Anolis sagrei: one gene and its partner. The protein of the gene in region 2 interacts with the protein of the main gene of each other region in a pairwise test. Links are inferred from orthologs where the notes say so. Each region holds a gene or a part of one and is shown on either strand. Other genes may lie near its edges.

Region 1 (16,007 bases), on a different chromosome or scaffold from region 2:
TCCAAAAACGTATTTTATGTTCTCTATCAAGAGGGCTAGGCCAGCCTGGAGAAAGGAGTTAAGTCTTTGGCCCATAGATTTTAGTCTTACTATAAATGTAATCATTGAGCCCCCCTGGGGTGATAAGGCAGGTTACAAGTAAAGTTTTTATTATTATTATTATTATTATTATTATTAAATTCAATACAAATGGAGTTACTTACACAGAAATGAATTCCTACAATAGTGGTGTCGACACCATATATATATATATATATATATATATGAACAGCATCAATGCATCCACAATGCGCTCTGCCTTTTGGAATTTCTATGATCAATTTCTGCAAATGTGCAGAAACCAGGGTTATATAATCAGGACTAATCCTGAACATGCTAAAATGAATAGGGAATGTGATCTGTGGGTATATAGATCTAAATATAAATGGGACTCTCAAAAATGAGCAATGGCTCCAGATCTTGTATATCAGTTCAGTGAGTTCTGCTGCACATTATAATTGCATGGAGTATAACTTGTTCATTTGTTCATTCATTCAGAGAATTTATTAATCCTTTTTCTGCTCAGAGGCCCCTTCAAAGAATTGCTCAAGTCAAAACAACGATACACTAATATATTAAAATATATTGCGACCACAACAAATTAAAAACAGAAACAAAACATTTCCGCTGCTTTTAAATTGTTCTTGTTTCTCTCTCTTCCTCCTCCTTTGTCCAAAGCTTCTTTCAGTTGTTGCAAATGGAGTTGAAACTGTAGAAATAGTTTTTAAAAAGCTTCCCTGCTCCTCAATGTAATATGTTTTTAAATATGTAAACATGGCTTTCATGTCAAACCCTAATTTCCTCTTCTCAAGGCATAATACATGCAGCTCTCCAAACAACTCCTTATAGGATTTTCCTTCTGGACCATTGCCCATTTGGTCACCCTTCTTTGAGCCCATGCCAGCTTGTCAATATCCTTCTTGAAATGTAGTGCCCAGAATTTCAGGTGAGGTCTGACCAAATTAGATTAAAGTGGAACTGTTGCTTCCCTTGATCTAGACACTATATTCCTATTAACACAACCTCTAATCACACTGGCTTTTTTAGCTGCTGTGCCACATCATTGACTGAGTATGATGCAGCAGCCTTGTGTCTTTGGTCATATAACTAGAACTGACAAGAGATTCAATTGCCAATTGGCTTTTGTACATGAAATGGAATGGACACATATTATATTTCATCTGAGACATAGTCTCTGATTTGTAGGCATGCTCATAATTTCCAGGGACACTGGTCAAGTGCTTCATACCCTTTTGCCATGACTGCTTTATATTTCTGTGTGAAGAACTGTTGTACTCTTGGGAATCTTGAAACAAATTTATTCCTTTAAGGATCTGCCAAACACTGCTTTCCTGCTTTCATTTATCTCCTTTATAAAAACATAATGAAACTACAAAAATGTTTTTACCCACTTTTTCAATCCCACAAATGCTATTGCATTCTGAAATGTGAGATCTGACATTTACTTCATTTAGGATAATAATTTAAAAACCAACTGGGTCCAAATGACTCAAGGAAAAGTGAGCCAAACCAAAGGTGACAGGGGAGAGCTAAATTGCTACGTTGAGGTTAGCTCTAATGTGTCATTCAGTCAATGTGACGTTCTCATTGACATGTGAAATTAAGCTCTTACCTGCTGGAGACTTCCACGTGGCCTTTGTTAACCTGGTGCACTCCCCACTCTTGGCTTCCCATACAAGCAGAACCTTATTTATTCCGATTGTACTTTTCCTGTTTCTCTGCAAGAGCTCCATGAATATTTGAAATTACATTTTCCTCTTTCCAAATTGTTCATTCCATCAAGCTGCCCACTCCATTCAAATCTTAGCAGGAGCTCTTTAGTCTAGTTGACAGCATCTTGGCCTGGGTGCCACAGGTTGAATTCTACATCCAGTCACCTCATAGTTTCAAATGTACAACTAACAGTTTGAACCTCACTTCTTCATATGTTGAATTCAATTAAAAGGGAACAGAAGGTATGTGTTGTGTGTGGGGGGGGGGGGGGAGGGGAGAATAATCAATAGCCACATTTTCTTGTATGTGGGAAAATAGCCTTCCACTGCCAAATGTTCTTGAATATTCCCATTTCAGAACAAGATATGATTCATGAAGATGTTTAGATAAAGGTAGAGGTTTCCCCTGACATTAAATCTAGTTGTGTCCGACTCTGGGGGGTTGGTGTTCATCTGCATTTCTAAGCTGTAGACACCTCCAAGGTCATGTGGCCAACATGACTGCATGGAGCACCGTTACCTTCCTACCAAAGTGGTACATATTGATTTACTCACATTGGCACGTTTTCAAACTGCTAGGTTGGCAGAAGCTGGTCCTAACAGCGAGAACTCACCCCACTCCCTGGATTCAAACCACCAACCTTTCGATCAGCGAGTTCAGCAGCTCAGTGGTTTAACCCACTGCACCACCCCCTGCCAAGAAGCAGGAATATTGCATTCAAAGCACCCTTGGCATGGGTATAGTGGGCCCTCTAGATACATATGATCTGGGTCCATGATTTCCAGGGACTGCAGATCACTGAGCCCCCTATTAGTGACGTGAATGTGGATATAACTGGTGGTATTTAGACAGAGGCTGGGTGACCATATTTCAGAGAAGTTTTAAGATGTGAATTCTTGTACTGAAATAGGGTTGGACAAGTTGTCCATTGAGGTCAAGTGATAGGCCCAGTTCTATGTCAGACCTTCTTCCAAACACACCACACCCAACAAAATTAAATGTATTTTGCTAGTGTGCTTTTAAGAAGAGGAGGTTAATGTAGCATGGTGCTCTCTTCTGTAACACTCCCAGTGGCATCTTTGGATGTTGTCTCATTACCACTTGTAGGAGTTAGGCACGGAGCAGATTGAGTTAAAGCAGCAATGCCAACAGCACTTTGCACAATGAAGAGAAAGAGATGATATTACGCAGCATAACTACAGACAATGTTTAACAGCTCTGGTCACAAAATGAAAACATCTCTCCGAGTTCTTCTTTAGGAAACTTCCAGTTGTCATAACAACCTCGGCTGCAGCACTTCTCCTCCTATTGCTATGGGAGTTTTCATTTCCTTATGACACCATTCCTAGGAAAACAAAGCCGTTTTGAAAAATTAAACAGAAGCCCAGTTCAAGGGAAAGAACAAATCTCTTCTTAGCCCCCATGCCACTTCCAAACACAATGCTATTTATTTTATTTTCACCATACAATGGAGCTCCCATTATGGTATACGCCATACTGAATCAATTAACCTCTAGAGGAGGAAAGTTGCTTCTCATTCACTCTTTAGATGACCAGACAAATATCTCTAGAATATCATGTTGGCAGCTCAATCAGCATCAATTACCCTTTGCCTAAAAAAAATCTTGATATGCACTCTACCGCATCTACCAGAAATGCCCCCCAGAATGTATCATCTTAACATTTCCAAGGTATCGAGCTAGGCATCTACATGCTGATTTGCCAAAAGAAAGCTGCCATCACTCTCTCTTTTATTCAACTTGGTTTTCCAAGGTATCTCAGTTCTTAAGAGACTCTAGACTACAATTTCAAAGAACCTTAACACAGCCTTTAAGATGCAAAGTGCGAAAGTACTGAAATTCTCATACCCCTGTAGATGTGTACAGGATTTAACCTACCTTTTCTGTGCAATATGGTTTACAAAAATCCCACATCTTTGGTTGTTGTTGTTGTTGTTGTTCATTCGTTCAGTCGTCTCCGACTCTTCGTGACCTCATGGACCAGCCCACGGCAGAGCTCCCTGTCAGCCGTTACCACCCCCAGCTCCCTCAAGGTCAGTCCAGTCACTTCAAGGATGCCATCCATCCATCTTGCCCTTGGTCGGCCCCTCTTCCTTTTGCCTTCCACTTTCCCCAGCATCATTGTCTTCTCTAGGCTTTCCTGTCTCCTCATGATGTGGCCAAAGTACTACAACATCTTTGGTATGACAACAATAAAAGCCAAAAAAGGGTGAGGTGGGGAAAGAAACTACTTGAACATCACAAAAGACAATATTGGGGGGGGGGGTCAATAGTAGATGGAAAAGAAGCAAAATGACTCATCCCAGGCTGCTAGAAATAATCCACTCTTATCGAAAATATGGTGAATGGTGATGTTTTCTTAGTAATCAGTAAGATTTTAGGAATTGATAGTAAAGCCGTTCTTGAGGAGTTTAAAAAAACACAGCACCTAAAGCAGTGGTTCCCAACCTGTAGTCCGTGGACCACGAGTGGTCCACAAGAACGGCGGCCTCACCGTTACTACACCAATGTAACGAGAGCAACTGGTCTCACAAAACCCTCTTATAGTGCCAAGGCAACTGGGATGTCAGGAGGGGAGAGGCTCACTACCCACTAAAAGTGTGAAAACAAGCCTGCTGCCTGCTGCTTCTCCTCCTCCTCCCTCACTCCCCCCGAACAGAGTCATTCCATGTGGCACCTGGAAGTGGGGGCACCTTGGTGTCTTCATTTTTAGGCCTGTTCCTGGGGTTATTTGGGGTGGTGATTCAGAAAATTGCTTTGGATAGACCACATCAGCTCTAGATTATTAAATATGGTTTTCTGTGGGCGAGTAGATGGCAACTACTGGATGGCATATGTTCTGTATCAGAAACTAGGGTTGATGTGATCTAGCCAATGAATCAGCACCCCAAATAACCAAACCAAATCTAAAGTTGACCAAAAACTGATTAGTAACCCTTTTGGCACTAATATTGGAGAGTGGTCTCTAGTCAAGTGGTACCTGGTTAAAAAAGATTGGAAACCACTGGTCTAAAGTCTTCTTTGGAGTCCCTTTCTTTGCTCTGTTTTTAAGCAAGAGCTTTCTATAGAAATCACTCAGTTGGATGTGAAATGTGACAGCATTTTCAATATGCTATGCTGTATCATTTCAAATAAAATGTTAAGTTTCACAGGAATTCAAATACCAGGGACATAGCAACATATATACTATAAAATAAAGGGTGTGTGTCCAAAATAGTAAAATATATCCCTCAAACTACCAAGGATCTATGTGTGTCTCCCCTACCCCCACCCCCATTCCAGGTCCTGGAGCGAAAAACATGTCCTTTGAGATCACTGACACCAGTCCTAAGCACCGAAAGCCCATTCCTGAATGGTTGAATATGACAATTATTTCCTCTTCCTGCACCACCTCCTCCACCAACACCAACACCACGTCCTCTTCTCATCATCATCATAATTTATTTATATGGCTCCATCCCTGTGTATGGTGTTTTACAAATAGAAGCACAACAAAATAATTCCCTGCCCTCAGGTTTACAATCCAATTAAGACAGGCTATAAAAAGAAAAAGGGACGGGGGTGGTGGGAGGGGATTTTGTCCAACAAGTACTGCCTCTTTTTCTCTCTTTCCATTACCAGGGTAATGACAGTTAGGATGTAGAGAGAACTACATTCAGAACAAGAGTTCCTCCAAACCAGTGCCCTCACTGGTTTGCTGCCCAACACGACATTAGTCTGAGGCTGACTTTACTGCGATTTCATTACTGCCATATGTTTACCAGGGCATTTATAAGCAGGCAATGAATATGATTGGATCTCTGCACTATACTTGTTTATCTCTGCTGATTGTTACAGATTTTATTAGGTGCATTACACTAACATTGCTTATTGTATTTTATTGCTTTAATATTGTTACTTGCCCTGGGACATCTGTGAATGGTAGAAATAGAATTAATATGAAAAAGAGATGCTGGTCATTCATATGAGTTTTTCTTCTCGGCATTAGTTAGCTATCCCAGATGCCTGCTAAAAGCTTATGGAATTCAGTAGAACTGTTCTACTGAAAGAGTTTCTATGTAGCTTCTATGCAGTAGACAATTGCTTCAGATGGCAGGAGTTTGGAGAAGGGGAGTAGCAATGACCTAGACTCTTCCTAACTACTCCATTAGTTTGTATAAAAGGAGTTGAACATGCCACCTGTGCTTTCTGGTTTTGGCAAAGTATACTATTCCAGCACAAATCTGAGTGAGATCTTGCCTGCTTTGGGCACCCACAAAGGCTTGTCATGCTGTTAAAATGTCTTTAAAGACCATCACTTTGGGGTTATTGTTAGATCTGGATAAAAAATACAACCAACCCTACCAGATCCAAAAATTCTGTGAGCATGAAATGTTTTATTTTGGATTTTTTTTCTCCGTGTCAGGAGTGACTTGAAAAACTGCAAGTCGCTTCTGGTGTGAGAGAAATGACCATCTGCAAAAATGTTGCCCAGGGGATACCCAGATGTTTGGGTGATTTACCATCCTTTTGGGAGGCTTCTCTCATGTCCCCCAATGGGGAGCTGAAGCTGACAGAGGGAGCTCAACCCATGCTCCCCAGATGCAAACTGCTGACCTATCAGTCAGCAGTCCTGCTGGCATAAGGGTTTAACCCATTGCATCACCAGGGGCTCTGCTTAGTTTTGGATAACAGGTACAGTTACCATGTTTTACAAATTTGATATCTTATTCTCAAACTGGAAATACAAAATTGGGAAATCCTTGACAAGCACTCTCACCATGTCATAATAGACTGTCTCAATCAAAATTGAAATAATGACAAAATTTCCTATATCCCTCTTCTCTACACATTTTCCCCTGCCTCAGGGACAACTAATGGAACCACTGCTGTAGGGACAGAAAATCTACTCCAACATATCCCCAAAATGCTCTGAGGATCGAACTTGGAGCAGCAGTGGAAGGAACAGTGACAAAATCTAGATTAGATTCCTTGCCCCTGTACCAGTAGGTCCATTGATCCTCAACTCTCTCCACCTAGTGTGATGTGAATCCACAAATATTGCTATAGATCTGTAGAACTTTCCATCAAGCCATTCATCCAGCATTGTTATGTGTTTTGAAGTCATATCTGATTGATGACAACCCTAAGAGCCAACCACAGAGTTTTCTGAGGCTGTGAATGTGTGATTAGCCTGGGATCACCGAGTGATTTTCCATGGCTAATGGAAAATTGACCCCCTGGTCTCTAGGGTGGTAGTCCAATGCTCCTCCATTACATCACACTGATACTTTATCTCATCTATCCCTTTATTTATTTATTTATTTATTTATTTATTTATTTCCATCACTTTTTTCCCAAACTGTGACTTAAGGTGACTAGTGGATTCACCAGTCAACCCTGACTAGTGCATTAGTGCTCTGGGCCATAGAATGTAGACTTGATGGATATACATAGGAGCACACATATATGTTTTATTTCCTAAATTATATTGTGCTACCTTTCCATTTGCCAATGGATATTTGTTAAAAAGAAGTCATGTCCTAAATCATACCTGGCATTCTGTTAATGAGTTATGTACAACACAACCTAAATGAAGTACAAACTAAGTGCAATTTGCATAAGTCAATTTGAGGACAGTTGCAGAAGACAAGAAGCAGGAAAATCACATTCAAAGCACCCCCGAAAGATGGCCATCCAGCCTCTGTTTAAAAGGCTCCAAAGAAAGAGCCTCCACTCAGGGGCAGAGTTCCACTGCTGAACAGCTCTCACAGTTAGGAAGTTCTTCCTCATGTTCGGGTGGAATCTCCTTTCCTGTAGTTTGAAGCCATTGTTCTACATCCTAGTTTCCAAGACAGCAGAAAACAAGCTCGCTCCCTCCTCCCTGACTTCCTCTCACATATTTATACATTGCCCTCATCATGTCTCCTCTGAGCCTTCTCTTCTTCAGGCTAAACATGTCCAGCTCTTTAAGCCACTCTTCATAGGGCTTGTTCTCCAGACCCTTGATAATTTTAATCACCTTCCTCTGGACACATTCCAGCTTGTAAACATCTTCCTTCAATTGTGGTATGCAGAATTGAACACAGTATTCCAGGTGTAGTCTGGCCAAGGCAGAATAGAGGGGTAGCATGACTTCCTTGGATCTAGACACTATACTCCTATTTATGCAGGTGAAAATTCCATTGGCTTTTTAAGCTGCTGCATGACATTGTTGGCTCATGTTTAACATGCTGTCCATGAAGACTCCAAGATCTTTTTTCCCCCATGTATGCTATCAAGCCACAACCTCTGTGATGCCACAACCTCTGAGGATGCCTACCATAGATGCAGGCGAAACACCAGGAGAGAATGCTTCTGGAACGTGGCCATACAGCATAACAAACTTACAACAACCCACTGTCCTACTTTTGCTTGTGTGGAACTTTATGCTACACCTCCCAATGCAAATCTCAGCCATCCTTTCCTATGGCTTGATGGATTATTCTAGTTTAATCTGGGTTCCTCCCACCCCCACCATAGCAGTGGAACCAAGAACATGAGTGTGACCAGGACATGTCACAACCATAAGATGACCTTCTCTCTTATCTGATTTTTTTTTCAAAAGCCATGCTATGTAACTGCCCCAAAGCATACTTAGTGCAAATGGATTCACATCACTGTGGATGAGTTTACAGTTCAACAGGCAGGAACATATCATATGCTTGTCTGGATCAATGCAAAGCCACATTCATCAGCAGCCCCTCAGGGATGGTGAAGGGGAGGAATCAAGTATGTACTATAGATTCAGTTGATTGGTATGACTAATTAAAATAATGCAAATCAACTATTGATCTAATTTTGGTGACTATATGTAACTAGGGGCTGTAAAGTGTGGCAGCTGGGCCAGGGATATATTTTGCAAAGAAACTGGTTATTTTGTCTGGCTGAAATAAAACGTGGGGTGGTTACACAGATAATAGGTCACATTCAGATGCCTAAGAAACACATGGAACTGTTGTCCAAGGGACCTCTGTCACAAATCAAGGCAGAGAGTGGGACACATGGGAAGGCCCATAAGCAAGAGGGGTCTAGAGGAATGGCTGAAGAACGACCACGTTGCAGTTCCGCTGCCCATCTATGTGATGCTGAAGTGATCAGTGATATGGAGAGCCGACACTTGGGAGCACTGGCCATGGGCAGCTATTCCAAACCCTGCAGTTCCAGTGAGGACAGTTTCGAGTTTCAAAGTGGCCCTGGGTCAGAAGCTAAAAGCTTTGCTAAAAGCAAAAATAAGGATGAAGGCTATCAATCACATCGATTCAAATGCAACCAGAAGTGGGGTGAAAAAATCCATCATCTGGAGCACTCTTCACTCTACCCGGGGAAAGCAGGAGACACCAGCCAGAAGCATCAGCAGAGGAAGAAGTTGCATAACCGGAGTAGTTCATCCACCTCTGATTTGAGCATCCTGAGCCAAGGTTCCTCAAGCTCCTTGTCTGTTGTGGAAGAGAAAATTGAAGCCAAACTCAAGTTCTCACAATTCCTGAATGAAGTTACCTTCCGGGTCCTCGACCCTACAAGTGTGAAAGCCTTCCGAGCAGCTAAACTGAAGAGTAGCCTTGGCTCTGCAGGGAGAAGCCTTGATGATTTACGTCTACGGAAGAAGAGCTCTGAGGGCTGGAAGGGTGAGAATCTGGCCCAGAAATCACAGAGAGAGACAGACCTGGAGAGTTTGAGAAGTGATGATGTTGTGTCTGGAGCACGGATGCGGAAGCTGGAGAAATCTTTGTCCTTGGATGCCGGGCCTTCTTTTGGGAGATACAGAAACGGGATTCCAGGTCAAGTAAGTAAATAATGGGGGTATTTTATTAGCACTGGCAAGGGTATAGCTTCTTTCTTTTTTACTAACAGATCTCTGTTTTGTTTGTTTATTTGACCAGCTACCATTTTTTGTAATTCATGAATCCCAGAGCTTGGTACATTAGGTCTAAAAATTAATTTGCCAATGTTAAACATTTGTAATTGGAAGGTTAATCCATTTTAACTCACACTAAGACATGACATCTGTTAATTCGCGTTTCATAAATTTACTTGGATTGTTTGTTTCTGGAACAGATCATGGAATGTGCTGAAAATGGTATGAAGACTGTCATCCTTGACTCTGGAAACACATTTTGTCATTTGTTTAATTCTGGAGTTGGTAGTTTAGTGAGGCCTTCCAAAGCACTCATTTTGAAGTTGTCTTTCACCAGTCTGGAATTATCTTCCAAGTGGATGATGAACTCATACTATGACTATTGCTTAGAAATAGTACAGGTCCAATATTAGTGGAAATTGTCGAGCTGGGAAAAGCTGTCTTAAAACATGATACCTTTATTTAGGAGATTATCACCCCACACTGTTAAAGAGTTGCTATTCCACTTCAAATTCTATGGCTGCCTCCTGTAGAATTCTGGGATTTGCAGTTTAGGGAGGGGCCATCTCAAATTCTCAGCCAGAGAGGTCCAGGTCCTCAAAAAACTACAACCGCCAGAATTCTACAGGAGGCACCCACAGGATTTAAAGTAGGATGTCAACTCTTCAAAGTATATTGTGTTAATCTCCTAAGTGTCTGTTCAATTAAGCTTTCTCACTTGTGTGTATCTGCCTTCGCTAGTATCAGACTTTACCCCTACGCATCCGTGCAACGTGTATACTTCACACACTTTATAAGGAGTGATGTTCAAGGCTAAAAGGAAAGTTGTTTTATGTCTGCTAGAGGACAATTTTTGCCGTGTAAATGCAGCAGTGAGTGGCTGAATACAAAGATTGGTCCGTAAACAGAAGGTGGATAATTGTTGTTTGCAATTGTTAACTGTTCTTGAGGGACCAGCAAGATCTCCTATTCTCAACAGCCCTTGCAAACTTAAGGACTTCCTTGAATGAGTCAATCCATCTAGAACAGGACAGAGCAGACTTGTAGTTGTTAGGAGTGGTGTAAGTTGAAATCCAAAATACCTGGAAGGCTGAAGTTTGTCCGTGCCTGATCTAGACTGTGGTCTTCCTCTTTTCCTACTATCTCCTACCTTACCAAGTGTCATTGGCTTTTCTGGTAAATCATGCCATCTCATGATATGGCCAAAGTACAACAGACATCATTTAGTCAATTATGGCATCCAGGAAGAGTTTAGGCTTGATTTTCTGTAGAACCAACTTATTTGACTTTTTGGTAGCCTATGATATCATGGCCAGGAACACATTTTAAATGAGTTGATTCTCTTCCTAATCCACTTTCTACATTGTTCTAAAACCTTGCTGCATAACTGTTTCCTTGTGACTCTTTCTCCCTACTCCCCATCAGGAAGTGTGGTTTGCAAAAATCAGTGGCACCACACATGTCTGTAGAAGGCTACCATCTTTTTTGGACTATAATTCCCAGATTCCCCCATCCTAGCTAGGAGGATCTTGTAGTTGTACAAAAAAAGGAACTTTTATAAGGCACTGGGAAAGATGGCGAATTATATGTACCTTGTGTCATGAAAATATTGTAGAAGATTTTATCAATTTGGATTTAATATATGTGTGGGAATGAATGGAAGAATGGAAGGATGTATGTATGGAGTTAATAATTTTGGAGACACCAGTATAATATTAAGGCCTGCAATGACTAATTACCTGCTTGCTGGAGTGTGATTAAAACCTGCTAATAAGAACTGAAAAGTAAACTGTGATAAAAACTGTGACAATGATTATTTCAATTTAAGAAAATGTTTGCAACATTCCTTATGTTAAGAAGGAATTTAATACAAGCCTTGTGTTTGTCAACACCAATCAAGAAGATCAACATCTGGCCAGGAAACTGAGATGGATCCAGGATGGATCATTAATTTACAACTTTGGGACTACATCAGCAGAATATTCCTATAAAAGCCTCAATCTAATAATGCTCAAAATGTGGCAGACCTGAGGAGTCTGTTCAACCCGCCATGCTCCATTCCATGGGCAGGAGAGAGATGTTGTATTCGGAGAGTGTCAGATATGCTATGGTAAAGCATGATTCTGGACACTTTGGGGCTTCTTTCTCTAGGGAAGAGGAAGAAGTGCACTTTTGGAGTCTTGGATTTTGTGCAGGGAGTCGGGTTCTGCTGTAAGCAAAACAGAAATCTGGTCCTTGGCATTATTCTTAGAGAAAGAAGTTTTGGGATTTCAGCATTTTTAAGTTATGGAACTATGCATTGGCAGGCTGCAGGAAAGCAGGGTCTGGCCTAACAGGTGCTTATCCAAGGAGGGAGAAAATGATATGGTAATATTTGGATGCCTGAGGATGAATGCGTGTACATGTGGTGTGAATGTTGAATGAAAATGTAATTTCCCTTTGTTTGTTTGTTAGCCATGTAACTGTAAATCCAATGTAGTTGCATAGAATCTGTATGTATGTCCAATGTCATTCTTCGTCCAAATGTTTTTCTGTAATCTGATGTACCCTCTCACACTGGAAATTGCAATAAAAAGAACCTATTCTTCAAAGTTATTGAAAAGTCATTCAGGACACTTGTATTCAGCAAATTACAGGTGAATGGTCATCAAGTTGCCAAAAAATACAAAGACATATTTGATTGACATGTGATTAGAGTGATTGCATTGCAGTTATTGGATGATATGACCTATACCAATCTCATTCTTGATTTTAAGCTTTTTTGTAGTTTGGAGAGAATTCATGGACCTTTTTGCTGGCTCCTTGCTGTCTCTACACAGACCAGTAAACCGAGCCTGGACCCATTCACAGTGTACAAACTTCTTGTTGTTTTGCTCTTTCACGAGTGGTGACCCTAAGGTGAACCAATCATGCGGTTTTCTTGGCAAGATTTTTTTCTCCTCATTTCTAAGCATACCCCAAATACACACACAGACATGAGCCATTGATGCTTCTAATATAACTATTAGGCCTCCCTACAGCTTTAATTTCCATAAGGTACTCTTGATATTTTGCTCCTTGTCAAAGATGCCCTCCAGGCATGGTTCTGGGCAGGAGACAGCGGTGAACTGAAAAAGTGGGGTCATAACCTTGGCCAGCAAATTGAAGCTATGGTAAGAAAATAATCTTGCAAAGAACTCTCCTCAGTTCTAATGGATGCTATTAGATTTTAGGCAATTGTGTGATTGATACAACAGATATTCAGAACGACGACTTCTTTTTCTATCTTAATTCTATAGCCCTCCATACTGGTCAGAAACCTGCACTGGAAAACTTTCATAGCTTTCCAGAGCTGGTTTTGAAGGCTTTAAAGTGGAGTGGGAGTTGTAGGAAAGTGGGGAAATTGCTCTGTTCTTGGTTTCAGGGAATTATATCAACGGAACTAACATATCACCCTGATCTTTCACCACAGGACATTCTTTTCAGTCCTCAGAGACTACCATAAGAAAAATGGGATGGTGATTTGGGCGCTTGGATTGGGAGAAGGATACAATAGTTTCTATGCATAACCCAGAAATTAAATGTATATTTAATTTACATTGCAGTTGTGAGGTGCTATGACTGAAGAGCTCCTGTTTTTTATATTAAAGGGTTGTGCATGATTTTAAGAGCTACGTAGGGCTGAGCCTGATTGATACTCAGAGGGGAGGCCATCAGGGGTGCTCAGGGATTCCCATGATAGTCTAGAACACGTTCTGCCTGAAACCATGGAAAGCCATTGCTGCTAGTTATACTTTTCAGCACTGTGACAGATGTGATCAGTGGTCTGATTGCCTATGTTCTTAACCAGTGCTCCAAAACATAACATTTTTGGATTACAGTGTTCAAATTCCCATGCCAGAATGTCCAATGATCATGCTAGTTTAGGAATTATGGGAATTGCAGTTTAAAAAGTAACTTCTCTATGCTCTAGAACAGTGTTTCTCAACCCGTGGGTCCCCAGAAGTTTTGGCCTTCAACTTCCAGAAATCCTAACAGCTGGTAAACAGGCTGGGATTTCTGAGAGTTGGAGGCTAAAACACCTGGGGAACCACAGGTTCAGAACCACTTCTCTAGAATCAAGTCCATTACATATTGTCCATCACTTGTAATCATTTTTAAGAAGAGGCTTCTTTTTGGAGGCCTTTAAGCAGAGGCTGGATGGCCATCTGTTGGGGGTGCTTTGAATGCTTTTAGGGTTTAGTGAGCATTGACCTTGAGTTTTGGAGTTGTAGTTCACCTACATCCACTGTGAATCCAAACAATGATAGATCTGGACAAAACTTGGCACAAATACTCAATATGCCCAGAGTTAACACTGGTGGCGTTTGAGGAAAATAGACCTTGACATTTAGGAGTTGTAGCTGCTGGGATTCACGTACAGTCAAAAGCCTTTTGGGCCCCACCAATTGGGCCAAACTTCCCACAGAGAATTGGGCCAAACTTCCCACACCAAAAAAAGTACTGTGTTTTCTGATGGTCTTTTATGGCCTCACACAACCCCTCCCCACCCAAGGGCTCCCAACCTCCAGGTTGAGAAACACCGCTTAGGGTATTCAGACTCCCCTTAACACAGTATTCTTCTGCTTTACATTTTTTCAGGAACACTCAATAACTGTCTTATTTTGCAACGCATATTAAGAAATGTTAAAAGGAAGGCTTCAAAATATCTTGATCTCCTTGTACTTATTTGGTTTTTTCCTTAGTCCTTCATTCAATCTCTTATGGCTGCTGTGATGTTTGCTGCATTATTTTGCATATGTAGCAATTAAATAGCAATAATACATAACACAATTCAGGCAGTTTTAAAAATAAAAAGGTGTTTCTTTGTAAACTAAACTAAAAGTAGCATATGAAAAAAGAAGACAGTAAGATAAATAATCCAAAGCACTCAAAAGAGTTAACAGCACTAGAATCAATTCCATGAATAGAAACCAAGAGCAGGATAAAACAATTCAATATAAACGCTGAGAGACAGAACTCTGGCCCATATTAAAAGCTTGGCAGAATCTTAGCAGATCAATTGAGACTTACATTCCAAGATGTTCAGTAAAACCAAGCTAATGATGCTACACTAGAAGCCTAACTTTTATATCCCCCTGGCTTTTGCTGTTTAATATGTGTGTCTATGTGCATACAAAAGTGTTATCATACCAGAAACATATTGAATCTGATATTTTACACAATGTCTAATAAAAAAGTCCTGTATCACACTAGAATGTTATTGCTGATTAAAGGGGCTCCTTCAGGTTATTACAAGCAAATAATAATGTTTTTATATATTGTGCAGCTGGTATAATCTATAAACATTTAATCATTGACAATAGATTGGTTTTCCAAGCTGATTGCTGTATAATTGGCTGTTTATCAACATAGAGTGAGCCCTCCACTTTTGTGGGGGTTAGGGGTGCAGAACCCCTGTGAGACTGGAAAAGACACAAATAGAAAATACACAAATTTTATAACCTAAAAGAATACATTTCTAAGAATGTTTAGGTCCTCCAAGGCAGCTCGATGGTCAACCTTCAGCAGAATTTGAACACTGAGTCTCCCTGAAGCACCTCAAGATTTCTAGAGATAACATATTAATTAATCAACTCTGAGAATAATCAAATCCACAAAAGTTAAGCCTGAAAATGTGCAGGACTGGCATAACCTTACCTTACAGACCTTAAATGGGAAGGTAAAATGGTAGTTTCATTATCTTCTTTTCTTGAGGTTTTGAGGCAGAAATTCAACATCAAAGAGCAGCTTCTGTATTAAAAGGCTTCGTGCTATCTGCTGTCAATCTTATACTTTTGTATCTGTTTCTACTAAGTCTCCTGCCTTTCTGTCATGTTGAGGGCTGTGACAGGTCAGCCTACAGAGTTGGTAAACCCTATTGCTCTACTGTCCATCATACTGAGAAATGCACCAATTTTGGTTGGTATCTTCCTGCAACTGCACCAAACAAATTCATTTGATACAGCTATTCTCAGGTTGGCGAGGAACATGTTCCAGCTTCCTGCTGTGAGTGTTGAATTGGAGACTCTTAAGAACTGGAAGGAACCACAAGGGCCATCTAGTCCAACCCTCTGCCATGCAGGAACAGATAGGGAAAGCATTTTGAAGAGATGGCCTTTCAACTTGTGTGTGGACTTCCAAAGGAGAGTTTACCATCCTCTGAGAAAATCTATTCCAACGAGCTTCCCAGGAAAGAAGGGGACTGAGACCTGACCAGAATAGATCCATTCACTCAGTAGTATCTGTTGACTATCTGTTGACTCACTACTAAGTGCAGTATCATGGGAGTTGTAGGTTTACAACATCTTTAGCCTTCT
Region 2 (16,033 bases):
ACTGTTAGCCAGATTTCATGGTTTTCTCCTCTCTGTTGAAATTGCCAGGGCAGTAAATAAGGAACAACACGTAGAGCTCTGCGCCCCTTCTACACACCACAGCATGCAGCCCCCAATGTATTACCCACGACACGCTCTGCAAACGTGCAGCACACTCACCGGAGAGAGGGCGCCTGTAGTAATCCGGGCACAGGGTGGGGTCGGGGGGAATGGGACCTGTGATCCGGGACAGCCCCTCTGCCATCTTCACCTCAGCAACCAGAAACTCTCCTTTTGGGAGGTCTTGAAACGATGAAGCCTGTCTCGATCACGGAGGACTTGCAGCAAATGCCTTGGGAGGAGCAGAAAGGCATTCGTTGTAAGAAGGTGCACCCCTTCTTCTTTATTGATTAGCAGCATTGACAGCCCACCTTTCTTCCAGTAACTCCAGAGAGGAACACAGGGTTCTTTCCCTGCTCACAACCACCCCGTGTCGGTCGGGGGAGAGAAGGACCGGCTCAGAGTCAACCAATGACACAACGGCTCTCAAAGTACTTTGATGAGAACAAGATAGACCTCACATAATAATGTCTATGACAGCCCCCATATGCTGACTATCTGACTGTGGCGCAGCTGGCTAGGCGTCAGCTGCATTAAGATCACTACTGACCGAAAGGTCATGAGTTCGAAGCCAGCCCAGGTCGGAGTCCGCGTCTGACCAATTTGTGTAGCTTACTGTTGACCTTTGCAGCCCAAAAGACAGTTGCATCTGTCAAGTAGGAAATTAAGGTACTGCTTATGTGGGAGGCAAATTTAACTAATTTACGAGGCCATAAAAATCTCCAGCAAGCATGCAATGAATGAGGAAGTACTTCACAAATGGTCAGTGAAGGGGCAGCTCACTACTTTGATGAGAACAAGATAGACCTCATGTAATTATATGACAGCCCCCATATGCTGACTATCTGGAACAAAAATGAGAAGATCATAGGCTTCCAGGATCCTCTCTACTACAAACACGAGAGCTCTACTAACCAAATCGTGATACCGAGGACATATAAAAGTCACGATAAAGCTTTCCCCTTGACATTCAGTCTAGTTGTGTCCGACTCTGGGACTCTGGTGCTCATCTCCATTTCTAAGCAGGAGAGAACGGCGTCACCCACAGATGCCTCCAAGCTCACGTGGCCACTGGCATGACTGCATGGAGTGCTGTTACCTTCCCGCAGATGCAGTACCTATTGATCTACTCACATCTGCAAGTTTTCGAAGTGCTAGGTTGGCAGAAGCTGGGCCTAACAGTGAGATCTCACCCCGCTCCCTGAATTCGAACCTGAGACCTTTTGGTCAGCAAGTTCAGCAGCTCAGCGGTTTAACTCGCGGCACCACCGGAGGCTCCTCAAGAACATATACTGAGATTGAAAAGAATTCTGAGTCCAAAAATTCATTCTGAATACCGGACACTAACTGAGCCAATACACCATCCGCAAAGATATTCATGGTAATGCTGCCACTCCAAGCTTTTCTTAAATTTCAGATGCAAATTTAGGATTCAGGTGGTAAAAAGCAGACATTTTGTTGCTGCCACTTTTAAGCAATCGGATCTCCAAGACAGGGCCTTCTCAGTGGTGGCCCCTCGGCTATGCAACGCCCTTCCTGGGGACATTCGATCGGCCCCCTCCCCCTCTTAACATTCTGGAAAAGACTCAAGACTTGGTTGTTTCAGCAAGTGTTTGAAAATGCAAGGTAAAAGACATAGGAATTTGGAACAACTGGATGACGAGATGGGACAATGTTATGATTAGGAGACACAAATGGATTACGTTTTTAATACTCTTGTTATGATTTTATATTATGTGTTAATGTTTTTAAGGAGCCCCCGGTGGTGCAGTGGGTTAAAGCGCTGAGCTGCTGAGCTTGTTGACCAAAAGGTCACAGGTTTGATTCCGGGGAGCGGCGTGAGCTTCTGCTGCCAGCCCTAGCTTCTGCCAACCTAGCAGTTCGAAAACATGCAAATGTGAGTAGATCAATAGGTACCGCTCCGGCGGGAAGGTAACGGCGCTCCAGGCTGTCATGCTGTCACATGACTTTAGAATCATAGAATCAAAGAGTTGGAAGAGACCTCATGGGCCATCCAGTCCACCCCCATTCTGCCAAGAAGCAGGAATATTGCATTCAAATCACCCCTGACAGATTGCCATCCAGCCTCTGTTTAAAAGCTTCCAAAGAAGGAGCTTCCACCACACTCCCTCTGGGGCAGAGAGTTCCACTGCTGAACGGCTCTCACAGTCAGGAAGTTCTTCCTCATGTTCAGGTGGAACCTCCTCTCTTGGAGTTTGAAGCCATTGTTCCATTGCGTCCTAGTCTCCAAGGAAGCAGAAAACAAGCTTGCTCCCTCCTCCTCCTCCCTGTGGCTTCCTCTCACATATTTATACATGGCTATCATATCCCCTCTCAGCCTTCTCTTCTTCAGGCTAAACATGCCCAGCTCCTTAAACCGCTCCTCATAGGGCTTGTTCTCCAGACCTTTTATCATTTTAGTTGCCCTCCTCTGGACACATTCCAGCTTAGAGTCAATATCTCTCTTGAATTGTGGGGCCCAGAATTGGACACAATATTCCAGGTGTGGTCTGACCAAGGCAGAATAGAGCATGGGGAGCATGACTTCCCTAGATCTAGACACTAGGCTCCTCTTGAGGCAGGCCAAAATCCCATTGGCTTTTTTTGCCACCACATCACATTGGTGGCTCATATTTAACTTGTCCACGAGGACTCCAAGATCTTTTTCACACGTACTGCTCTCGAGCCAAGCATTGTCACCCATTCTGTCTCTTTGCATTTCGTTTTTCCTGCCAAAGTGGAGTATCTTGCATTTGTCCCTGTTGAACTTCATTTTGTTAGTTTTGGCCCATCTCTCTAATCTGTCGTTTTGGATCCTGCTCCTGTCCTCTGGAGTCTTGGCTATCCCTCCCAATTTGGTGTCGTCTGCAAACTTGATGATCCTGCCTTCTAGCCCTTCATCTCAGTCATGAATGAAGATCCTGAACAGGACCGGGCCCAGGACGGAACCCTGCTTGTGGCACTCCGCTCGTCACTTCTTTCCAAGATGAAGAGGAAGCATTAGTGAGCACCCTCTGGGTTCGTCCATTTAACGAATTACAGATCCACCTCACCTTGGAGATGTCTATGGACAATGCCGGCTCTTCGGCTTAGAAATGGAGATGAGCACTACACCCCAGAGTCAGACATGACTGGACTTAATGTCAGGGGACAACCTTTACCTTTACTTTAATGTTTTTAAATAGTTTATGGTGTTTTGGGGCATCAAATTGTTGCCATTGTGAACCGCTCTGAGTCACCTGAGGGCTGAGGACGGTATACAAATATAGTAAATAAATACATAAATAAATAATGTAATTGGGCTGAAATGGAGCTTAATGAAACAGGTAGTAAGAGAAGCTCTGTAGCCCTCTGGTTCCAAACCTCTCAGCCGTTTCCTGCGTGCCTTCCAAAAGGGAGTGACGCCCCGCGCTTTGCCACCGGGCAGAGCCAGGCACAAAGCCCGGGAATCCTGCCAGCAACAAACAGGCCGCAGCTGCTGTGACTCTGCGGCCAGGCACCCTATGTATTTATTTATTTATTTATTTGGGGCTTTTCTATCCCGCCCTCTCTCAACCTCCGCAGAGGGACTCAGGACGGCTTACAAATTGGCATCCCATGGTGCCCATTCCAGAAACATAAATATATAATTGAACAGCAGTATAACAATACACAGTGTAAAACAGTATACAACAATATAAAAACACACAGTCAGCTTGAATCATCATCCGAGGGGGAGTCAGACAGTTCTGTAAAAGTTGTCAAGTCAGCAAGTCACCCTAATCTACCAAGGCCTGATCCCATGGCCAGGATTTCACTTGTTTCCGGAAGGTCAAGAGGGATGCAGCAGATCTAATTTCAATTGAGAGGGAGTTCCATAGCCGAGGGGCCACCACAGAAAAGGCCCCGTTCCCTGTCCTCACCAGACGTGATTGCGACAATGGGGGAACAATGAGTTGGGTCTCCCCAAAAGATCTTAGGGCCTTAGGTGGGTCGTAGTTTGGAAAAGTAACCTGCCAATAGAACCAAGTTGGCACAGAAGCAGTCAGGAAGAGCGACTTTCTTCTTCCCTGCGCTTCCTCCAAAGATACTCTGACCGCAGATTCCACCTCCTGCTCGGCCTCAACAGAAAAGAGTGGGCACACTGTCCCTGGTTCTTGGAGAAGGGTGGTTTGTAGTGAGAGCTAAGCCAATGCTACCTTGGCAGCCACCTCTCCACAAATGTCAACATTGACACCGAAATACAATACCGCCTGAGCTCTGCAAGTGCAGCATTTTTCCAAATGAAGCAGAGTGTTTGAGGACCGGGACATCCGTAGGGAGACCAAGGGGCTTGTTTATAAAGCTATTGTCCTCCCAACCCTGTTGTATGCCTGTGAAACGTGGACTGTCTACAGATGTCACATGCAACTCCTGGAACGATTCTATAAGCATTGCCATTGAAAAATCCTGCAAATCTCTTGGGAAGGCAAGCGGACAAACGTCAGCATGCTGGAAGAAGCAAAGACCAGCAGCATTGAAGCGATGGTCCTCCACCATCAACTCCGGGAAGACAAGTGGACAAATGTCAGACGCTGGAAGAAGCAAAGACCAGCAGCATTGAAGCGATGCCCCTCCACCATCAACTCCGCTGGACCGGCCACGTTGTCCGGATGCCCGACTACCGTCTCCCAAAGCAGTTGCTCTACTCCGAACGGAAAACGGAATGTTGGTGGGCAGGAAAAGAGATTGAAAGATGGGCTCAACTTTGGCATTGACACCGAGAACTGGGAGCCTTGAAATTGAATCCAGACAAGACAGAGGTCCTACTGGTCAGTCGTAAGGCCAACCAGGGCATAGGGTTACAGCCTGTGTTAGACGGGGTTCCACTCCCCCTGAAGACGCAGGTTCGCAGCTTGGGAGTGATCCTGGACTCATCGCTGAGCCTGGAACCCCAGGTCTCGGCGGTGGCCGGGAGAGCTTTCGCACAATTAAAACTTGTGCGCCAGCTGCGACCGTACCTTGGGAAGTCGGACTTGGCCACGGTGGTCCACGCTGTTGTTACATCCCGACTGGATTACTGCAACGCACTCTACGTGGGGCTGCCTTTGAAGACTGCTCGGAAACTCCAACTGGTCCAGCGGGAGGCAGCCAGATTGCTCACCGGAGCGACATACAGGGAGCACACCACCCCCCGGTTGTGTCAGCTCCACTGGCTGCCGATCCAATTCCGAGCACAATTCAAAGTGCTGGTTTTGACCTATAAAACCCTATACGGTTCCGGCCCAGTGTATCTGTCCGAACGGATCTCCCTCTACGTCCCACCTCGGAACCTAAGATCTTCTGGGGAGGCCCTGCTCTCGACCCCGCCTTTATCACAAGTGAGGTTGGCCGGGACGAGGAGCAGGGCCTTCTCGGTGGTGGCCCCCCACCTGTGGAACTCCCCCCCCCCCCCCGGGGAAATTAGATCGGCAATGTCCCTTCTTTCATTTAGGAAAAAATTGAAAACCTGGATATGGGACCAGGCATTTGGACACCCGGGCAGCTAAAGAAAAACCTAATGACGAGCTGGAACTTGTCGAGATGGAATGGACTTATGAAACTTCGAACGCTGAACTCAGGATTAACCTACTGCTGTGTTATTGTATTAATGTGTATTGATGATTTTAATTTTTAATTTGTAATTGTTTAATTTGTTTATATATGTATGTATATGTGATAAAGGCATCGAATTGTGCCTTCCTCTGTAAGCCGCCCTGAGTCCCCCCCCCCCCCCCCGGGGGTGAGAAGGGCGGGGTAAAAGTGACGGAAATAATAATAATAATAATTAAGGGCTCCAGCTGGAGGTCAGCTGTGACCAGCAGTGCTGCAGAATTCAAAGAGGCACAAATGGAGGGTGAAAGAGAGAAACATGCCAAGAGGAAGGAGGCACATTAAGCCAACCCTGACTGGGACCTTCTTCCATGTGGAATCCAATGCCCTCACTGTGGGAGAAGATGCAGGTCAAGAATAGGGCTCCACAGTCACCTACGAACCCACAGCCAGGACACTATACTTGGAGGACCATCCTCCTCGGACTATGAGGGATCACCTAAGTAAGCAAGCCAACATTGTTTGCTGTAACCAGTAACCAGTACAGTAAACCAGTACAGTACAAGATTCTGTAATTGTGGAAGGCTTTCATGGCTGCCAGAAAGGACAGAGAGTTTCATCTATGCTGATGATCGTGCCATTACTGCTCAAGCAGGGAGCTTTGAGATGGTAGAACAGAAGCTCTCCGAAGCTCTAGGTGCCCTTACTGCCTATGACAGGGAAAACCAGATGATCCCCAACCCATCTAAAACACAGACAAGCATCCTGAGCTCTGAAGATCACCTGGGAAGGAACCCCTGGAGCATTGCAGCACACCCAAATCCCTGGGAGGAGTCACTCTGGACTGTGCTCTGACCTACAAGAAGCACTTCCTGAACATCAAGCAAAAAGTGGGCGCTAGAAACAACGTCATACGAAAGCTGACTGGAACAGCCTGGGGATCACAACCAGACACAGTGAAGACATCTGCCCTTGCACTATGCTACTCTGCTGCTGAGTACGCATGCCCAGTGTGGAACACATCTCACCACGCTAAAACAGTGGATGTGGCTCTGAATGAGACATGCCGCATTATCACGGGGTGCCTGCGCCCTACACCCCTGGAGAAATTACACTGCTTAGCCGGTATTGCACCACCTGACATCCGCCGGGAAGTAGCAGCCAATAGTGAAAGGACCAAGGCAGAGACATCTCCAGCTCATCCCCTGTTTGGGTATCAGCCAGCACATCAACCACTTAAATCTAGAAATAGTTTTCTAAGATCTGCAGAGACACTTGCTGGAACACCTCAGCAAGCGAGAGTCCAAAAGTGGCAGCACCTCAATCAGTGGCTGATACCAAATGAGAGACTCCCCCCTGGGCACACAGAAGAAGACTGGGCGACTTGGAAGGTGCTGAACACACTGCGCGAGATGCAGAGCCAACCTCAAGAAATGGGGCTACAAAGTGGAATCCACGACACGCGAGTGGGGAGAAGAGCAAACCACTGACCACCTGCTGCAATGCAACCTGAGCCCTGCCACATGATGCACAAGGGAGGACCTCCTTGCGGCAACACCAGAAGCACTCCAAGGGGACAGAGACTGGTCAAAGGACATTTAATCAACTACCAAGCTTGCAAACTTTGTGTTTTGTTTGTTTGTTTGCTTTGTTCTGTTAGAAATGTAATATAATTGACTGGTTGATCTGACACGACAAATAAATAAATAAATAAATAAATAAATGGCTGGAATCACTGGGTTGTGGTAGGTTTTTGGGGCTATAGGGCCATGTTCTAGCAGCATTCTCTCCTGACGTTTCGCCTGCATCTATGGCAAGCATCCGGAGGATGCTTGCCATAGATGTAGGCGAAACGTCAGGAGAGAATGCTGCTAGAACATGGCCCCAAAACCTCCCACAAGCCAAGATTCTGCAAGTTTGTAACAATGATAATTATATGAATACTTCCTCTCGTGAAGACAGAAGCCCCTTCCACGCAGGTGAATCCAATCCCACGTTATCTGCCTTGAACCGGATTATGTGGCAATGTGGACTCAGGGAACCCGGTTCTAAGCAGATATTCCGGGTTATGTGGCTGTGTGGAAGGGCCCAGCGGGAAGCAGAGAAGAGGGGCGCGTCCCCTGGGGAAGCCTCGGGTGGGAAGGCCCGCCTCAAGCCCACGCCGGGCTCCGCTCACCTCTCGGGACGAGAACAGGCCGCGGTTGGGATCTCCCCGCCTCCTCCTCCTCCTCCCGTCGCTAAGCAACCGTCGCTTCCTCTCCATAGGCGGAAGGTAAACAAAGCCCTTCTAGGAAGTCTAGCACCGCCCCTTCTCGCCTGAGGGCCGGCGCCGCAGCGCCCCTTGTGGCCGGGGGAGGGAAGGGCAGGGAGGGAAGCAAGAGGCACTGGCTCAGGATTTCCCTTTTTTTTTTAAAAAAAAAAATGTTTTTATTAGGAGGATTAAAATATATATATAACCTCGAAAGTGGGGGAACATATTTGGTTTGGATAGGAAAGTAGGAATATCAAGGTCCAAGTATATAAAAAAGGCAAAAAGAGAGGAAAAAAGTGTATATATAGTTAGGTTCTTGTGGGGTTTTTTCGGGCTATATGGCCCTGTTCTAGAGGCATTTTCTCCTGACGTTTCGCCTGCATCTGTGGCAAGCATCCTCAGAGGTATTTATTTATTTGGGGTTCTTTTACCCCGCCCTTCTCACCCCGAAGGGGACTCAGAGCGGCCTTACAAAAGCAAAGGCACCCTTCGATGCCTGCATCATGAAACAATTATACATAAACTTACATCATATCATAATATAATTCACAAAGTGCATGCATTAATTATCATAAAATCAATAAAATCAATAAAAACAAATACAAACCCAATTTCTCCTTTTACATGGTCAGCGTTTCGCTCATTGATCTAATTTTACATTCCATTTCATCAATCCTGCTGGTCTTACTCGCCTGATTGTCTGATTTAATTGCCAAGGTGCCCAAAGGCCTGGTCCCACAACCACGTCTTCACCCTCCTCCTGAAGGCGAGGAGGGATGGTGCTGCCCTGATTTCCCCCGGGAGTGAGTTCCACAGGTGAGGAGCCACCACTGAGAAAGCCCTGCTCCTCGTCCCCACCAGCCTCACTTGTGAGAGTGGTGGGGTCGAGAGCAGGGCCTCCCCAGATGATCTCAGAGTCCGGGGTGGGACGTAAAGGGAGATACGTTTGGACAGATACACTGGACCGGAACCGTACAGGGTTTTGTAGGTCAAAACCAGCACCTTGAATTGTGCTCGGAACTGAATCGGCAGTGTAGTGAGGTCTGTTGGAAGTAGGAAAATGGGTTTATATATCTGTGGAATGACCAGGGTGGGGCAAAGGACTCTTGTCTGCTGGAGCTAGGTGTGAATGTTTCAACTGATCACCTTCATTAGCATTTGAAGGCCTGCCTGAGCCTGGGAAAATCTGTTGCTGGGAGGTGTTAAGCTGTGCCTGGTTGTTTCCTCTCTGTTGTTTTGCTGTTGTAATTTTAGAGTTTTTTAATACTGGTAGCCAGATTTTGTTCATTTTCATGGTCTCTTCCTTTCTGTTGAAATTGTCCACCTGCTTCTTGTGGATTTCAATGGCTTCTCTGTGTAGTCTGACATGGTGGTTGTGAGAGTGGTCCAGCATTTCCGTGTTCTCAAATAATCTGCTGTGTTCAGGTTGGTTCCTCAGGTGCTCTGCTATGGCTGACTTCTCTGGTTGAGTTACTCTGCAGTGTCTTTCGTGTTCCTTGATCCGTGTCTGGGCAATGGCGCTGCGTGTGGTGGTCCCTCTGTAGACTTCTTGTCCACAGCTGCATGGTATACAATGGTAGACTCCTGCAGAGGTGAGAGGATCCCTCTTGTCCTTTGCTGAATGGAGCATTGGTTGGATTTTATGTATATATAGTGTTCTGTCGCCGCTGGAGCCGAAATGAATCATAGAATCCTAGAATCAAAGAGTTGGAAGAGAACTGGTGGGCCATCCAGTCCAGCCCCAATCTGTGAAGAAGCAGGAATATTGCATTCAAATCACCCCTGACAGATGGCCATCCAGCCTCTGTTTCAAAGCTTCCCAAGAAGGAGCCTCCACCACACTCCCTCCTGGGCAGAGAGTTCCACTGCTGAACAACTCTCATGTTCAGGTGGAATCTCCTTTCTTGTAGTTTGAAGGTGCTTTTAAGAGAGGATGTTAGGCTTGCATCCAGCAGGAAGCCAGGGCCCCAAAAAGAAGCCTTTAGGAAAATTTCCCTTATTAAGCAGTCTTTATGAGGCTTGAGCTTAAATATAACAGTTCTTTATTAAGGAACAAACAGGCTTAACAGTCTATTACAGTGTTTCTCCACCTTCCAAATGCCACGACCCCTTAATACAGTTCCTCATGTTGTGGTGACCCCCAACCTTAATATTATTTTCATTGTTACTTCAAAACTGTAATTTTGCTACTGTATTTACATTTACTGGACCAAATGTGGCACAAATACCTGGTGAGTTTGCGGGGGGGGGGGGGGGGGGATGTATTGATGTTGCCATTTGGGAGTTGTAGTTGCTGGGATTTATAGTTCGCCTACAATCAAAGAGCATTCTGAACTCCACCAATGATGGAATTGAACTAAACTTGGCACTCAGAACTCCCATGACCAACAGAAAATACGAGAAGGTTTTGGTGGGCATTGACCTTGAGTTTTGGAGTTGTAGTTCACCTAAATCCAGAGAGCACTGTGGACTCAAACAATGATGGATCTGGACCAAACTTGGCACAGATCCTCAATATTTCCAAATGTGAACACTGGTGGAGTTTAGGAGAAATAGAGCTTGACATTTGGGAGTTGTAGTTGCTGGGATTTATAGTTCACCTACAATCAAAGAGGATTCTGAACCACACCAATGATAGAATTGGGCCAAACATTCTACACAGAACTCCCATGACCAACAGAAAATACTGTGTTTTCTGATGGTCTTTGGTGACCCCTCTGACACCCCTTCGTGACCACTCCAGGGGTCCCAACCCCCAGGTTGAGAATCGCTGGTCTATTAGCTCTTGCAATCTTGTTTACAGGAAACAGGCACTATCTTCATAAACTTTGCTCAAAGGAAAATTCCCCCTTTTAGCGCCTCCCAGGCTGCTGTGAACCTAAACCTGACTGATTTGAGTCTACTACCGGCTGAACTGCGTCTCAGAACCGAGCAGACGTACCAGCAGGCCTGTAGTCACTTAGCTGGAGATGAGCAGAGCTGTTATTCCCTCCGGAAGTCCTCAGGGCTGTAAAGCTGTTTCCCTGGAACCCTTTGGGAATCTGTAGAGGCTCTCAAGACTGTTCTCCCCCGGGAAGTCTTAAGAGACGAAGCCTTTGCACAGGAGGACGTTTGTGTACATCCTCTGCATAGACTTCCTTTGCTGAGACTGGCTGAAAAATAGCCCCTTCCCTCCAAAAAACTCAAAGAAGGGCGGGACCAGGGAACCTAACTGTTATTGACAGGTGGCTTGTCCTATGAATGCAAATTATAACAGGAAGCCACCCTGCTGCAAAATCCCAAGCCTGGGATTGCAAACCAACATTTAACCCAAAGAAATAAAATTGGAGCTCCTGGAACAGCTGTTCCAGAACATATAGGAAATAGAATATATATATATATATATATATAAGAAGAGAAAAAGGGGAAAATGTTTTGTTTTTTTTAAAAAAGGAAAAAATATAATATTGTTGACTTCCATCTAGACTTTGGTGGTCTTCAAAGTCTCTTTTTCTGGGCTTTCTAAGCATTTGCTGATGGTGAAAGAGGTCATGGCACGCCTGGGCCAACTTGGGCCCTCCTTCCCTCCCTCCAGGTATTTCGGACTCCAACTCCCACCATTCCTCACAGCCTCGGGCCCCTTCCTATTCCCCCTCAGCCACTTAATGGAGGGTAAACAGGCCTTACATATGTAGATGATCCCACTTTGATGGCCGAAAGCGAGGAGGAGCCGAGGAGCCTTCTAATCAAGGTGAAAGAAGAAAGCGCAAAAACTGGGTTGCAGTTAAACATTAAAAAAAACCAAGATTATGGCAACAAGAATGATTGACAACTGGGAAATAGAGGGAGAAAAGGTAGAGGCCGTGACAGGGTTTGCATTTCTAGACGCAAAGATTACTGCAGACACAGACTGTGGCCAGGAAATCAGGAGACACTTCCTTCTTGGGAGGAGAGCAATGGTCAAGCTTAATAAGAGAGTAAGGAGTAGAGACATCACACTGGCAACAAAGATCCACATAGTCAAAGCAATGGTTTTCTTCAGAGTCACTTACGGATGTGAGAGTTGGACCTTAGGGAAGGCTGAGCGAAGGAAGAGAGATGCTTTTGAGCTGTGGTGTTGGAGGAAAGTCTTGAGAGTGCCTTGGACTGCGAGAAGATCCAACCAGTCCATCCTCCAGGAAAGAAAGCCCGGCTGCTCACTGGAAGGAAGGAGAGTAGAGGCCAAGAGGAAGTCCTTTGGCCACATCATGAGGAGACAGCAAAGCCTAGAGAAGGGAATGATGTTGGGGAAAAAGGAAGGAAAAAGGAAGAGGGGCCGACCAAGGGCAAGATGGATGGATGGGATCCTTGAAGGGACTGGCTTAACCTTGAAGGAGCTGGGGGTGGTGACGGCCGACAGGGTGCTCTGGCATGGGGTGGTCCAGGAGGTCACCAAGAGTCAGAAGCCACTGAACGAATAAACAACAACAAACCAGGCCTGGGCAAATCTGGGCCCGCCCTCCCTTCAGGTGTTTTGGACTCCAACTCCCACCATTCCCAACCGCCTCGGGCCCCTTCCTTTCCCCCCTCAGCCGCTTAAGCTGAGTACTGGGCCCATAACCAACGTTAGGCTCTGTTACACAGTAGCATTGCACGCAGCAGCCTTCACGTGGGAGCTTCTCTCATTCCAGGGCTTTGTCATTCTGTGAGGCCTCCTTCGCAGGGAAGCCTCCTCGCACTGACTGAGGCACTCTCTCACTGGGGCAAACAAACACTAACAGGCTTTGGCATACTCACTGTGCTATCTTGTTCATAACTTGGAGACTGCCTGTAATGCAGTTATACGAGTCTATTATGAAATATATCATACTGTTATTGAACACGATACCCCCTCCTCCTCCTCCTCCTCCTCCTCCTCCTCCTCAATTACAAATGATTGCAGAGAATATCAGGAACAGACCAAGAGCAGCATCAAAGCCCACAAAGACTTAATTGCTTCAACCCTAAAATAAAATCTATACTTGTTCTAACCTTCTGCCAGACCTGTATACGTAGAGTATAGGTATGTGCATACATAGAGAATCCTCCAAAGCACTTTACATTTTTAGGTCTGCTTGTCTGTTTTTCACAAATGCCACTATCGCCTTTTTGCCCATGCTGCAGCATTACTTTCAATTTTAATTTTACATTTGGCCTACCCATAGTTTTTAAAGTGTGTTGTCCTATTGATAATGCTTATGTTATTGTTTTATTGTTTTTAAATTGCTTGTATTGTTGTTGTTGTTGTTGCGTGTATTGCTGTATTTTGGGCTCGGCCTCATGTATGCCGCACCGAGTCCCCTGGGAAGATGGTGATAATGCTTATGTTATTGTTTTATTGTTTTGTTGTTTTTAAATTGCTTGTATTGTTGTTGTTATTGCGTGTATTGCTGTATTTTGGGCTCGGCCTCATGTAAGCCGCACCGAGTCCCCTGGGGAGATGGTAGCGGGGTACAAATAAAGTGTTGTTATTATTATTATTAATCCCGTTCTCCATATAAAATGCAACAAGACGTAGCCCAGAAGACCACCACCCTTTTGTAACCTTGCTGGGGCTTTTCCTGGGCAAGAGAGGGTGGGCAAATCTCTCTGGCTGTTCCCGGCTAGGGTAATCATCACAACCCATTCTGGAGATAGATAGATAGATAGATAGATAGATAGATAGATAGATATGTAATATATATATGCAGAGAGAGGCAGCTCCCCACGTCAGGCCAGATAAGACAGTAAATATTGGTTTAACTTAATGGCCCTCGTGGGCTGAGAGATTGCTGACCATGGAAACAGAGGCTCAGCGTGCGTACATTTGCTTAACCTTTTTATTTGGAGCCCAACTCCAATTGTCAAGATCACCCTCACCTTTTAGGTCTTTGGAGCCTCAAGCACTTGTTATGCTGAGTCAGTCAATCAAAGACTCATTATCATCTCTTTGACATTAAGTTCTTGTGGGTTTTTTCGGGCTATAGAGCCATGTTCTAGAGGCATTTCTCCTGACGTTTCGCCTGCATGTCTGGCAAGCATCCTCAGAGGTAGTGAGGTCTGCTGGAACTGGGGGGGAAAGGGTTTATATATCTGTGGAATGGCCAGGGTGAGACAAAGGGCTCTTGTCAGTTGGGCTAGGTGTGAATCTTGCAACTGACCACCTTGATTAGCATACAATGGGCTGACTGTGCCTGGAGCAAACTCTTCTTGAAAGGTGATTAGATGTCCCTGCCGGTTTCCTCTCTGCTGTTTTTGCTGTTGCAATTTTAGAGTTTTTTAATACTGGTAGCCAGATCTTGTTCATTTTCATGGTTTCTTCCTTTCTGTTGAAATTGTCCACATGCTTCTTGTGGATTTCAATGGCTTCTCTTTGACATTGTTTCCTAACCCTAACCCTCTTTGACATTGTTCCGATAAAGGGCATCCCTTTGCAGAGGACGTCCCACCAGCCGCCTGGCCCTCCGGTCAGCGAATCCCAGGCTGCCATTTCCCCGCAAAAGGGAATCCTCGCCTGGAGGCAGTGATGTCAGCAGTGTCCTCAACCAATCAGGGTGCGGATCCAGACTGGCCCCTCTCTTAGCCAGTCAGGGAGGGGCGCGGGATGTTTGAATAGCTGTCATGCTGCAAAAAAATGTTATGATTGACCTTGTCTCTCTTTTTGGCCAGACTGAATAACCTTCTGCGGCTTGTCTTCACCCGGATGCGTTTCCTGTCTCTCTGCCTGGCCCATTTGGTGTTAGCCTGGGTCTGCCGGGCACAGTCCCTGTTATCTGCGGTCCTAGTCTTAAATCCAACACAATACCCTTCAGTTCAAGCTGCAACGACCGGTGCATTGTCCCTGGCTTCTGTGGCCCACCAACCTGAGAGAGAGTGGACAGAATGCAGCGGTCCTTGCGTAGCCTAGCAACCGGAGTCAGGAAGGCGGCGGTGCCATCATTGTCTCCAGACGGACCTCGTGCTTTGGTGGAGACGGACCCCCTGCCTTGGTGGGGATCTCTCCTTCTGTTGAGTAGATCCAGGCAGCTCAAGCCTTTGATACGGAGGGCAACTCCAGGTTGTTGTGAGGATGAACTGCAGGTCTTTGGAGAGAGAGAGTATTCAGGCATGGGCCTGAATACACCTTGGGAAAATGTTGCTAATCCCACTCCCATGTTATTGGTCAGCAAGTCGGCTCTGAGTTATGAATGAGAGAGCTCTAAGGCCCCTGGTCATCAACTGCCCTGTACAGACACTCCCTGAGTTACAGACAATATAGGCTCTGTAGGTTTGTTCTTAAGTTGAATCTGTATGTAGGTCAGATCAGGGACATTTTCAAGTGTAACTCCAGCCAAGAAATACACATAGTTTAAAGCTTTAGATAGCACAGGGAAGGGTGAATACCGCTGTGGTGTTAGTTTTCATATTTAGAAGATGTTCCTCTACTGCAGTGTTTCTCAACCTGGGGGTCAGGACCCCTGAGGGGGTCATGAGGGGGTGTCAAAGGGGTCGCCAAAGACCATCAGAAAATTAGTATTTTCTGTTGGTCATTGGGATTCTGTCTGCCAAGTTTGGTTCAATTCCATCATTGGTGGAGTTCAGAATGCTCTTTGATTGTAGGTGAACTATAAATCCCAACAACTACAACTCCCAAATGTCAGGGTCTATTTTCCCCAGACTCCACCAGTGTTCACATTTGGGCATATTGAGTATTTGTGCCAAGTTCGGTCCAGAACCATGGTTGCATGAATCCACAGCATTCCTCTGGATATAGGTGAACTATAACTCCCAAACTCAAGGTCAACACCCACCAAACCCTTCCAGTGTTTTCTGTTGGCCATGGGAGTTCTGTGTGCCAAGTTCAGTTTAAAACCATCGCTGGTGGAGTTCAGAATGCTCTTTGATTATAAGTGAACTATAAATCCCAAATGACAAAATCAATCCTCCCCCCAACCCCACTAGCATTCACAATTGGGCATATTGGGTATTTGTGCTCAATTTAGTCCAGTGAATGAAAATCGATCCTGCATATCAGATATTTACATTATGATTTATAACAGTAGTAAAAGGACAAGTATCAAGTAGCAACGAAAACAATATTATGGTTGGGGGTCGTCACAACACGAGGGACTGTATTAAGGGGTCACGGCATTAGGAAGGTTGACAACCACTGCTCTG

The links.
Region 1: the proteins of ENKD1 (region 2) and BEGAIN interact in binary tests that used the Homo sapiens proteins (3 or more experiments, as listed by UniProt). The two-hybrid records come from large-scale screens. The link is inferred for Anolis sagrei from reciprocal best matches to the Homo sapiens genes ENKD1 and BEGAIN.

Annotation. Positions count from the first base shown.
Region 1 is NC_090021.1:322,777,320-322,793,326, reverse strand, and holds the start of BEGAIN (brain-enriched guanylate kinase-associated protein), read left to right. Parts: upstream 1-8,635; 5' UTR 8,636-8,745; coding exon 8,746-9,597; intron 9,598-16,007. UniProt on the Homo sapiens protein: May sustain the structure of the postsynaptic density (PSD).
Region 2 is NC_090028.1:44,000,030-44,016,062, forward strand, and holds the start of ENKD1 (enkurin domain-containing protein 1), read right to left. Parts: upstream 7,902-16,033; 5' UTR 7,826-7,901; intron 332-7,825; 5' UTR 245-331; coding exon 160-244; intron 1-159. UniProt on the Homo sapiens protein: Microtubule-binding protein which regulates microtubule organization and stability. Promotes the stability of astral microtubules and facilitates the proper orientation of the mitotic spindle.